Linked DNA regions of Macaca fascicularis. The protein of the gene in region 3 binds, or shares a complex with, the protein of the main gene of each other region. Links are inferred from orthologs where the notes say so. Each region holds a gene or a part of one and is shown on either strand. Other genes may lie near its edges.

Region 1 (3,647 bases), on a different chromosome or scaffold from region 3:
AGTATTCACACCACAGAAATTGGCATGTGCTACATACAGATCAGGACTTGACTTGTCTTCTCCAAAGAGCCAGCTGTTAAACATTTACCACCACACCAGTGCCAATAACTAGTGATTATTCTGAATTCTTTAAGTATTATGTTACATGTATTGATGGTCATGATTTCCAGATTAGAAATTAGTAAACGTCAGTTTATTGCATTCTAACAGCACTTTATTTTTTTGGAATAATGTTATTACTTGAGTAAGTTTTACCAGAAGTTCTCCTATAGCAGTTTAAACATGGTCAAAAAGCAAATACTACTACTACTACTACTACTACTACTAATAATAATGAAGTATATGAAATATAATAGAAAACAAGTATCCAGATTGTGTAGGTGATTGACACTGTAAAAACCACCATAAAGAATATTAGCAAAATAAATAAATAAATACAATGAACTCTTTGTTTCCAAGCAGTCACTGTAACACTATTAATGGCAACTTCCATACGCAATTAAAAAGTCAATATAATGCCCTGGAGCACTTCTGAATCACAAAGCAAAGATTAAATTGGAATTGGTGTAATTTTATTGCACTGTAGTATACATTGATTATTTGGAAACTGATCATCAGCCTATGGATTTATACTAATTCTCTAGGCACCAAAATGTTGAATGAACCAGATGCCCTCATCTGTCTGACCATGAAAAGCTAGTTTACTACACCAACTCAACAGGTTGTTGAGCGCTTTCTACAGGTAGGAAGATTTTGATATTACTCTGTTCTTTCCCAAAAGAAACGTGTGTTCAAATAGACTGTCTTTAACAATGAATATACTTGCAAAATAATATTTAGGTCCAGTGGTAGCAGTAGTCTATAGATACCATACACAGTTACACCAAACTGACCCACTTTAAAACTTGCAAAAACCTCTCAGTCCCTGAGAAACACTTTAGAATTGAGATTTAAATTGATTAGTTTTCTTTGATAAAACTATTTATATAGGTACAAACTTAATAAAAGATGGATATTCAGGTTCAAGTCTCTGGAAACTACACCACTTTCAGTGTGTCAGAATGGGATAACGTGTAAAAGACAAAGACAGGGGGTCTGTTGGGTGTCAAGAGAGACTAGCAAATATGTATCCGAGTGGACTGCTACGTGCAAGGTAAAAACATAATTTCAATACTGTGGAAAGCAATATCCACATACCAGTTCTTTCACATAAAGTGAGGAAATATAATTTCGACTGTCTCGTAGTGAGAATGTCTTCATAATAACAAAATCTGGCATAAGTTAATGTTTAGAAACTTAACAATAGAAAGACATAGCAAGACTAAGCAGATGGATGAAACACTGATGTGTATTTGAGTTCCCATTGTATTCATCGTGTCTTACCAATTATTTTCTAGCATTTTCCATAAAAGTATTTTAATCAGTAATCTACCATTTACAAAACCCCTCATCTGGCTTATCATGTAGGACTTATTATTATTCAATGACAATTTGCTGTTTCCATGTCAAACTTAGTAAGAATAATTGTCATTATTCAATGACAATTTGCTTTTCCCATGTCAAACTTAGTAAGATGCAGTTCTTAATCATAAGATGTGCCTCAGTTCAATATATCTCAAATAGTGAGATCTCCAATCCCACTATCTGTGGATGTGATGTATATTAGAGATCCACTGCATTTCATAAAAATGCAAGTGAGATTTTTGAGTTTCTAGTTCTTCCCCTCTCCAGGGAAAAAAAAAAAAAAAAAAAAAGAAAGCAAAAAGAAACATACATAGTGTATACATTTCTTCACAAAAGAGTTCCCAAACCAAAAGTGCTAACAGGAAGGAGTATGAGAGATTACACATGTAACTATAATCTTCCTGGTTTGGGGAACTCAGAAATCACTTAACGTAATTCAATTTCTATACCATTGACATATAATCTGGCTGAGATTGGAATCCCTCCTGGATCCATTTATAATCTACGTTGTACACGCTGACTTCCCCCCGTAGACAGGCGTGACCACTAGATGGTGCTGTGGTGCCCTATTCAAACACATCCCCACTTACTTGCAATCTCTGTCCTCCAAATCGAAGTGAGGGTTGAAGTTGATCATAATTCTCTGGTATGGGTCCGGAGCCTGAATCAGCCATTCACATTTTTCACTTGGGTGATAAGAATGAGGATAACCAGGAGATGTAAGGTATCCGGGGCTTTCAATTTTTATAGTATCGCCACATTTATCTGCAATAAAAGTAAGATTTTAGTAGATCTTTCCTGACAACCTCTTAGGTAATCTAGCTTTATATATAAATTACCGGTTATTAAACATTCCCTAACTTTTTAAGGGGAACTTTAAAAGGTCCCCGTAAGTCCTTCGTGTGGCCCTGACTGCAACACTCCACAAAAAAAACACTCTTTGATCTCAGGAAGGTTGACTCAGGCAGAAAGCCAACTGAGATCTGAGAGGACTCTTCGCCCAGCCCCGAAGTTTCTTCCTAAGGAAAAGGTCTTCTAGCATTAAAAACATTAAATCCCCTCAATTGATGTTAACATGGTCCCCTGGGAGCTTCTGCTAGACTTAATTATCCCCCAAGAAGTGTAATCACATTAAGTAGCAAGTTCTAAGTGGAAAGTGACTGAAAGATGCTGTTCGACCCCTTGTGTTGTTTTTTGATGATAAGCCTGGTCTATGTCATTGATCAGTGGGGATTGTCTTTGATTGGCTTAAAGCCAAACCTTTTGTTGTTGTTGTTTTATCTGCCCATAAATCTAAGTGATTTTGAGTTCTCTCTGCTCTTGAGATCCAAATCAACAGAGAACAAAGTATATTTGGTGAAGCAGAAATAATTCTGCTTTACTTCTCCAAGTAAGGTTGTTCATTCTTAAAAATCAGATCAAAGCAAAGGGGCAGAAAAAAAAAAAAGGTAAATAGCCACATGGCATTAATTCTAATTACCTAAATGTTGGGTGAAAAATAACCCACCACACAGGTGTGGGTATCATGTATGGTAACCCACATTCTCACATTCTGGGAAAGGTGAGCTAACTCGTTTTGAGCCTTCACTTCAAAAATGCTCAAGTGAAGCCAAATAAACCAAATAAACTAGTCTCTGGACTGCCTTATTGTTCAGCATAGATTCTCATTGTCACATTTTATGATGGATTTCATACTGGAGCACCTCAGCCTGAAATGCTGCCACATTTACTGATGCTTAATTTTGAGCAATAAAAATTCGGTGCATAAACTATACAAGAGAAACAGGTATGAAAGCAGTGAAATATATAAGCCTATCAATCACAAATTTTCAGTAATGGTATATATAGATTTTAACACTGCATCTAATAGATTCTCTGTGGAAAGAGAATGGCATTCTTTGCTCTCAGCATGAATTTATAAATCTACAGAATTTTATTACAGGAAAACCAGGTCAAATGGAAATGAAAGATGAAGTGCACATCAAAAATGCGTAAAGCTACATGCATCACAGAAATCATTTCCCATAAATTAAAAAAGAAGACAATATAAGTTATATTGTTTTTCTCAATCACTAGGTGCTTGACTTTGTTCCTTAGACTGGGGGTAGTCTTATTCTGGTTTCCTTTGCATTGGCTTGTAAAAGTGTAAGGTTTGCCAGGAAGAAATGATGTTGTAACTGGAG
Region 2 (3,647 bases), on a different chromosome or scaffold from region 3:
ATAAATTAAAAAGAAAAGTCTTTTTCTCTCTACTCTTTCACTCCTACCCTTGCCTTCCTAGGCAAGGTTTTTTTGCCTAGACATTTATCTACCCAAAAGTGTTCAAAGGTCCAAGTGGCTAGAGAGGGGACAGGAGCCGGTGGTGCATTTTGTGGAGACCACTTGGCTATTTGTTTACCCCCAGCCCTGCCCCAGTCCTTGGGAGTATTACTGTCATTCTCTTTGACAGGCTCATGTTTCTTCCAAGTCTACTAGGTCACCACTGGGCTGTACAAGCGACATGACATTAAGAAAACCAATTTTAATAAAAGCTATTTTGATTTTTAAAATAAGCACACCAGAGTCACCTTCCTTTAGGGGCACTTTGTACATATTCCCATAATATAATTGAAACTCTTATTTTGCAACTGCTTTCAGAGCTTATTTACGAGCCATATAGGAAAACTATTTTGAAAGTCACAGCTTGATCTAATAATCCACCATGTTTTGTTTCTAATCTTTTTTGCCACATTAAAAATCAAATCCCTCAAAAGATGAAGATTTCTAGTGGTAATGACAGCCAATATTCATGATGCCCTGGAGCCCACTCTCCAAAGGGCGTGCCCCATGTTTTGAGCAATACCAGCATCATTGAAATATGAATGCAAACCTTAAGGAAACCATTTTGGAGTTCTTATATTGACTTAAAAATAATTTTTAAAATATCAGTCTTATAGCCTTTGGTCACATGTTGAACACAGAAAGGACAAAGGTCATTTCATAGCTCCCCTCACCATGCTTGGTGAACCTTTGTCCTCCACCTTGAGGGGTCCAATGAAAAGGTACAAACCTCTAATATTACAGCATGTCAATAATGCTACTTGCAAAGCTGTTCTAATAATATACAGTGACTCAGACTTTTGCATTAGTCAAATTTCCAGGTCAGATTTTATAGTTATCATCAGCTCTGTTTATGAGAATACTTGTCCTCAAATTATGCAGGTGGTGGTCATAAGATACGCCCTTGCTCTGTTTGTTTAGCTATTCTGAAATAGGAAAGGAGGCACAGAGTGATGTAAAGATGGTTCTGTTCCCCCTTTGGATCTGGGGAGGTTGCAGAAATGGCTGTGTTGAAGGAAGATGTGTGCTGTCTAACCTCCTAAATTGCTTGCCACAACCCATCAAAGATAAACATTGAATACTTTTGCAAATGTATTTTGGATTTCACATCCACTGAAGTAAAAGCATAAAAAGAAACCTCTTAGCCAATGCCATCTAAGCATTTAAAGCCAGGGTAACAATTTTAAACACCCAAATCACAGGCATGGTGGACTGGCCTCATCTAGCTGATCTGTTGGAGAACTGCCAAGAATTGATTGACTGCCTAAAGAGTAACAGGGTCAACCGCTCTTCAGCGCAGGAAAAGGTTTATTGGATGTATACACCATGCTTGCAGTACAATTGCATTGCTTAACAAATGTTCTGCAATTTCTTCTCAGCCCTGCACAGTCAATTACAAGAGCCAGTTTTGCTATGACTGAACAAAGCACTCACTAATCTAATTGGTATCCTATTGCTCCTTTTCTCTGCTTTTCTCCCACCATGATGATCAAGGCAGGCACCTTCTTGTCTCTCTCTCTAGGGAATACATTGAAGCCCACTGTGTTTCCATTCTGTGTTTTTAATCAGTTCGAGGATGATTAATCAATTGGAAATCTGCCACATGTGATGTGGTAAGGCTCCATGAAATGGGAAAGGGAAGGAGAAAGGCTGACAGTCCCGTTGCTGGTGTTTGTGCACAGAAAGCTGTGTGGTGGAGTATGAGAGCAGAGCAAATCTTACATCTAGAATACACCTTGGCTGGAAGCCACTGTACCCTCTCCCACTCCTCAGGCTCCTTACCTGCTATTGGGTGATAAATGGGTACAGGCACCACCTTCCTTTATCCACCCACAATACGGGTCTCTGGAGGCAATACAGGTTCTGCAGGAAGAGGATGACCATGAGCTACGTAGGACTGTTTCCTAGCCACCACGGACTTTCTAATTGTCAGTGAGGCAAAATACATACTTTTTACACTTCCCATGTCGTTCACACCGGCCAAGGGGAACCTTTATCACACAGGTAGAGAATGCAACATACAGAGAGCTGCTTGCTCTGTCCAGCTGCATGCCCATGATCCTTTTGTCTTCGACTCCATCATAGCTGCATCTAATTTCATCAGGCAAGATAATATCATTAATAGACTCTTCTCTTTTTCTCAGCACCACCCTCACATCCCACTTCCCAGCCCACAAGGCAATCTCTTAATCTGATCTAATTGGCAGTGAAACAAACAAATCCTTATGCTCATGCACACATGTAGACACACACATATGTATGTATCTATATAAACACACACACACACACACACACTGGCAAGGAGAAAATAATGCTTTTTAGATGTTAAAAAATTTTTACAAACGGCATTAAAAAGTCATCTAAAAATGCATAAAACCTAAGTCGGCCATGATTTTCTCTGAATGAAAGGGACCATAACAGCGTAACAAATAATAACTAAGGAAGAACCAAATATTCTACTTACTTTTCAGGGTTGTAAACGCTCATCTCCTCCAGGAAAAGGCTGTCATTTAGAAAACCACTGTTTCCTATCCTGGCCAAAAACTTCAAGATGATTCCCTTCTCTGATCCCAGAAAAACCACAGTGTGATTCTGATACGGCCCAGCAGCCGTGTCCACTGCAATTTTGGTCAGGCGGTATCTAAAATGACAGGACCACATTTTTTATCTCTTTGTTGGTCTATCATTAAAGTGTTCCCTGTTCCACTTCAAACAGCTGTGCCATAGCTTTCTAGTAATAACCTCAAGAAAAATGTATGCATATAAATAATGTTCTCAAGTGGTTCTGGCCCTTTATTTCCATTTGCAGAGCATTAGTATGGCTCCAAAGGGGAGGAAGGAGGTGTGAATGTGTGTGTGTGTGTGTGTATGTGTGTGTGTTTCTGGGCCAAGTCCCATAATAGATAGCCAAAACCACCTGAAACCACTTAGCAATAATCCCTTCCATGAACGACAAGGAAAGACTAATGTCTCCTATGATGAAGGTAAGAAGTAATAAATTCATTTAACCTTTAATTTAACATTGAAAAGCAATGACTACCATTTCTCCATACTCTTCCTCTGAGGTACAAAGCCTTCATCGACAAAATGTTTGATTGGAAAGCTTTCCAGTTGTATGTCGAGGGGCTGGGAGACTTCTCAAGGATGAGGAGGTAGGGTGCTAATGGCACTGCTAAAAACTGCAGGGACCTGCAAGCCAAACAATATCCATTTAAAGCTAAAGGTGAAGGGCATACCTAGGATAAGTCCTACCAGCAATTTGCTTTCTCTGAAATCTCTTGAACATTCGACATTCTATGGGGACCCAGTTGTCCTAAGCACCATAGCTGGAACCAGAAAACAGACCCTCCTGCAAGTTATATACCGTGGTTTCCATTTTATGTGCCAGAGCTATTACAGTGCTTTAATATATTTTAATAAAGTCAGAGTATAAAAATAGTGGTAAAGTTAATTAACATTTTGTTTGATGACTACCACAGTGGGATGGTACTTGGGAAAGCCTGTTGAACTGTTTGGAAATAAGCTCTGAATAAATACTAGGAAGAGTT
Region 3 (4,431 bases):
AGCTAGCCAGCCCCCCGTCCTGCTCCAGGCTTCAAGGGACCCCTGTCCTTATGCCCTGTCAAAAAGAAGAACCAGCTGGGATTTCCTTGGCAGACTCATGGTCCCTGGGTAGAGGAGATCTCCTGGTACTTTACCACTGCTGCTCTTCAGCATCTTCCCTGCACATCGCTCCAAATGTCATTTCCATTTAACTGCTTTGCAAGCCAATTTGCCCCCATCCTAATGCAATTTGCTGAGGACAGTGAGGGAGCAGAGAGGGCAGTCTGCATTGCCCTCCCTTTATCAGCGGGTCCCTGAAGAGGATCAGCTGCAGAGTGGAGGGAAATAACTCCTTTAGGTAATGCTGGCTGGTGGCAGCAGGGGCAAGTTCCGGGATGAGGAGGGGTTGGTGGTGATGCTGGATGGAAGAAGGGGAATGAAAAACAACCTCGCTAGGGTATTTTCACAGATTCCACTCTGTTTCCTTGGTTCCCTACCCTTTCTCCTCACTGCCCCTTCAGCCCCCAGGACACCACCGAGGAGAGATCCCAGGTAATTAGTTCAAATGGTTCTCTGTGAAGAGAGAGGGAAGTTAATGAATTCTTCTCTTTTCTTGCCTGGAGGTCAGAGGGGAGAGGGCTGCAAGAAACTCTGGGAGCTTTCTGGGGTCATTGCATAAAAGTTGTGCATTTCAGTTAGGAATAGCTGAATTCCTCCAGCCAAGGTTATCTCTTCCTGGGGCTCTGTCACTCAGTAGAAGGCCCCAGAATCTAAAGTCAACCCAGAGGGAACAGTGAGGTTTCAATGTCTAGGAAAGAAGCCCAGCAAAGGAGGGAGACTGCTATTGTGTGGGGAGAGGGGAGAGCTAAACCTGACTCGTGCTCTCAAAGTGTCCAGCCCAGGCCAGCCAAGATATTCATCTTGGCCTGCCGCTCATAAGCCTTGTCCACTGGGCACGTGAATGGAAGGAAATGAATGTGACCCCAAATTTCTGTGGGTTCCTCCAAGCCAATGGGCCCCCAAGTGACTGCCTCAAGCTGTGATTGGCAGTCCCAATCCCCTCAAACTGATCCTGCCTTCATGTCCCTTGCGTACCTTCTATGATGTGCCACTGTCACTCTAACATCTTAGATTCCTACAGGAATCCTGTTCATATTTCCATTGCCCACCTCCTGGGGCTCTCATTTCTAGACCCTTGCTGACCTAGAACCTCAAATCTCTTATCCAACTTCCTCTCCCCCATTATTTCTATCCCTCCTGAGCAGAGCTGAGTTTGAGTAGGTAGGTCCCACTAGGGCAAGGGTCATTCCAAACAGGTGGACACTTTTTCGGGGACCTAGAATGGTAGTTTCTGGTGACTCTCTGGGCATCTAGACCATGATTGGTATTATAGAGACTACCTGTGGGATGGATAAAAAGGGCTAGAATTTTCCAGGATCCCTACCTAACTTGTGGGGTGGGGCAAGAAAGAGCACATGGAAGGAAATATTCTCAAATGGTTCATAAGGAGCCTCTGGGACCCTAAGCAAACTCCCATTTCAACCCCCAGCACTCGCGTGGTCCTCAAACTATGGGGCTGGACCCCTGCTGGGCGATACACTGCAAAGGGAGTCCTGGGAGATGAAACACTCAGACCCATTCAGTGCCTGGGAATCTCTCCCTGAGCATTATGGAACCCGCGCAAATGATGTTTTCCCCTTCTCCTGATCTCCAGTCCCGGATCTGAAGGGACAGCCGGCGGCCACCAGGGACTCTGGCACTGGAGTGAACGCCCCCAAATCGATCGCTGGCCACTGTGGCTTTGGGTTGTCTCGCTGGTGCCACCGAGGCCCTCTTTGGGCTCCAGCTCTCGGGACAGCCTTGCCGCCCCGAGCTCCCCAAAGCCGCAGAGCGCCGGCAGGTGCGCGGTGGAGGCGCGCCGCGGAGCGCTGCTGCCGCCCTCAGCCCGCGGCCGGGAAGCCTGCTGGCTGCCGGCCGGGAAGCCCTGGGCGGGAGGCACCGGCTCCAGTGAGCCTGAGATCGCGCGCACGCCGCGCTCCGGCCCGCGAAAGTGGCCGAGCCCACACGGGGACTCGCCCGCCGCGGCCAAGCCCGGTTGCCTGGGGCCGGGACCCCAAAGAGGCGGGTGCGGGAGAAGCAGCCACGGGTGTGCGCGCCTGTGGGGAGAAGGCTGAAGGCGCTGCCGACTCCGAGCGTCCGGCCCAGCCGCCGCTTACCCAGCTCGGCGACGTCGGTCTGTCCTTCCGTCCCTGCTCCGTCTGCCTCGGCCGCCGGCTGCTGAGGGCGGCGCGAGGCCCCTCTCCCTGCCCGCAGCTCCGAATCAGGGAGAAGACCAAATCCACATGGAGTCCAAATTCATTAAAATCCACGTCAAGCCACCAGCCACTTATCTGTATTCCTGAAGTCGCCCCGCGGTCTCCGCTCCGCGCGCCCCTCAGTCCTCGGTCGCCCCGCAGCAGCCCGGCTGGGCGCTGTCGCCGGCTCGCGGGGGGCACCTGGAGGCGCCGAGGGGGCGTGTGGGGGTGGCCGGCGGTGTCTCTCGTGGGGAAGAAGCAGAGCCCCGGCTTTCTTCAGATTTTTCCAGCGCGACTTTCCGGGCTCCTCTGACATCAGCAATCCCGGCGCTTCCTTCCCTTCTTGCTCTCCGGTTCGTTCACAGTCCCATTTCCTCCGGGAGCCTGGCTTTCCAGATCTATTTCGAGGTTTGCTCCGCCGGCTGCGGCCCTCGCGCTGCCTACCGTTCCCAAGCTCGCGGGGTCTCTCTCCGGATCGCTCGCCCTCTCGGCTGAAAAATTCTCAGCAACTGCGCTCCGCTGCCCTCCCGCTCCAGTCTGGCGCGGATGCCTCTCAGCCCGGCAGCTCTGGCTCCCGCGGTGGCGGCGGCGGCGGCGGCGGCGGAGCCCTGAGCGCCGGCCTCCCTATTTTACCATGCAGCTCATTATCATAGAGGCCGCGCGCGTTAACCCCCTCCCCGCCGGCCGCGGCCGCCCGAGCTGGGGCCGCGCCCGCTGCTGGCACCGCCCGCCACAGCCAGCCCCGTGCCCCCTCCCCCGCCCGCGCGGACTTCCTCCTCCGCAAGCTGTCAACAAAGGAGAAGCAGGTTTGGCATCCGGAGGCCGCTCCGCTGCCTGTCCTGCGCCCAGCTCAGCCCGGACCCATTGGCCACCTTAAGTAGCCAAGGGGGCAAGGAAAATGCTACCAGGGCCCGGGAATTCGAGTAGGGCCTTGCGAACCCAGCTGGTTTAGCCCCCGGTGGAGATAGAAGGTCGAGCGTTGGGGTTAGCGGGGAGCTCAGGACACAGGAAGAGTGGGTGAGGGCAGTAGGGACAGGGACTCCCCCGCCATTCGCATCACCTGTCACCGCGCACATCCTGCACACCTCCCTCTTGATCTTTGAGTGAGGGGTGAGCGGGGAGGAACGGGGCTTGTCTGATGGGGTTGAGACTAGAGTCTTGGAATTTGTGGGAGCAAATTTCCTCTTCTTGTAAATTAAAAAAAAAAAAAAAAAGCCAGCAAGCTGTCAAATAAGGCTTGAAGTTGTTATTATTATTGCAACGAGAAGATGAACCTTGCTCTGAATTGAATCTCAAGCTTCCAGCCCTGATAGGGATCCTGGGCATCTGAGAAGTCCCGACTTGGATGAGGGCATTGGGAACCGGAGAAGAGCTTTCTATATCCAATTCAGAGAATCTTTTTGCCAGGGGAATCAGAGGGGTGGCGATAAGATAACTTATTTTAATAACCTAAGGTGAGAGGTTTCAGGATTCTGGACGACAATGCCTCGGTGCCCTCAAGGCCACTGATGCCTTGCTACACAGTCTCAGTAACTCTGCAGCTTCTAAACACTGCTTTTCGGAACGGGCCTGCAAGCTGGACCCCAGCGAGTTCGCAGGGTCTGCGTAGTCCCTGCTCGCGATTAGAGCTCACACGAGTTTACTCCTGTCCAAGTACGCTGTTAAGCTTCCTCTACTGCCCTCTCGTGGCCACAGTCCTCAGTGGTATAAATCGAAAAAACAACATAAATCACTACAGAAAACCTAAAAGCAATTGCACGAAATTCTTAGAGCAGTAGGGGCAGAAGAAAGGAAGGGAGGGAGGGATGAAGAAAGGGAGCCAGAAAAAAGAGAGAGAGAGAAAGAGAGGAAGAAGAAAAGGAAATCTAGACTAACCAGTCATCTCGAACAATCGTTCATTCAATACAGGACTGGGGGATCCAGGCTTTCCTCCAGTATCTGCAGAAATCAGCTAATTCTTCAAAAGTCCTTCATTGTAATTAGCTGAAATTTGCGATCCTGTAACTTTCACTGGTTCCTGCTAGTTTTGTCCTGTGGAGCCACAAAGAATCTGTCTAAGCTGTGTTGCCTGATCCATACTTGTTCTTTCCTTCAAACTTCTTTAAGAGCATTTATTGTTGGTAACACACCAATAAATTATCATATTTACCCTGTATTA

What was found.
Region 1: the proteins of PLXNA2 (region 3) and NRP1 are in contact, whole or in part, in a crystal structure (PDB 4GZA), measured with the Mus musculus proteins. The link is inferred for Macaca fascicularis from reciprocal best matches to the Homo sapiens genes PLXNA2 and NRP1. Residues at the interface, in NP_032908.2 of Mus musculus: Asp273, Leu274, Phe275, Glu306, Lys341, Gly342, Gln343, Lys344, Gln345, His348, Pro350; in NP_032763.2 of Mus musculus: Glu78, Arg80, Asp81, Lys83, Tyr84, Asp126, Tyr127, Glu128, Thr129.
Region 2: the proteins of PLXNA2 (region 3) and SEMA6A are in contact, whole or in part, in a crystal structure (PDB 3AL8), measured with the Mus musculus proteins. The link is inferred for Macaca fascicularis from reciprocal best matches to the Homo sapiens genes PLXNA2 and SEMA6A. Residues at the interface, in NP_032908.2 of Mus musculus: Ala93, Cys94, Tyr95, Pro96, Lys155, Gln192, Asp193, Tyr194, Asp220, Phe221, Val222, Pro229, Ser230, Asp231, Leu386, Lys389, Val391, Thr394, Lys395, Ala396, Pro397, Val398, Leu407, Asp408, Ile409, Asn410, Gln411; in NP_061214.2 of Mus musculus: Arg108, Met109, Lys110, Gly111, Met162, Ala163, Thr188, Phe190, Leu191, Ile193, Tyr198, Thr206, Arg208, His212, Asp213, Ser214, Glu219, Gln266, Arg267, Glu270, Lys271, Lys393.

What each region holds. Positions count from the first base shown.
Region 1 is NC_088383.1:34,082,306-34,085,952, forward strand, and holds part of NRP1 (neuropilin-1), read right to left. Parts: intron 2,230-3,647; coding exon 2,055-2,229; intron 1-2,054. UniProt on the Homo sapiens protein: Cell-surface receptor involved in the development of the cardiovascular system, in angiogenesis, in the formation of certain neuronal circuits and in organogenesis outside the nervous system. Mediates the chemorepulsant activity of semaphorins.
Region 2 is NC_088380.1:123,158,620-123,162,266, forward strand, and holds part of SEMA6A (semaphorin-6A), read right to left. Parts: intron 2,741-3,647; coding exon 2,564-2,740; intron 2,191-2,563; coding exon 2,050-2,190; intron 1,963-2,049; coding exon 1,882-1,962; intron 1-1,881. UniProt on the Homo sapiens protein: Cell surface receptor for PLXNA2 that plays an important role in cell-cell signaling. Required for normal granule cell migration in the developing cerebellum.
Region 3 is NC_088375.1:66,055,660-66,060,090, forward strand, and holds the start of PLXNA2 (plexin-A2), read right to left. Parts: upstream 2,876-4,431; 5' UTR 2,196-2,875; intron 1-2,195. UniProt on the Homo sapiens protein: Coreceptor for SEMA3A and SEMA6A. Necessary for signaling by SEMA6A and class 3 semaphorins and subsequent remodeling of the cytoskeleton. Plays a role in axon guidance, invasive growth and cell migration.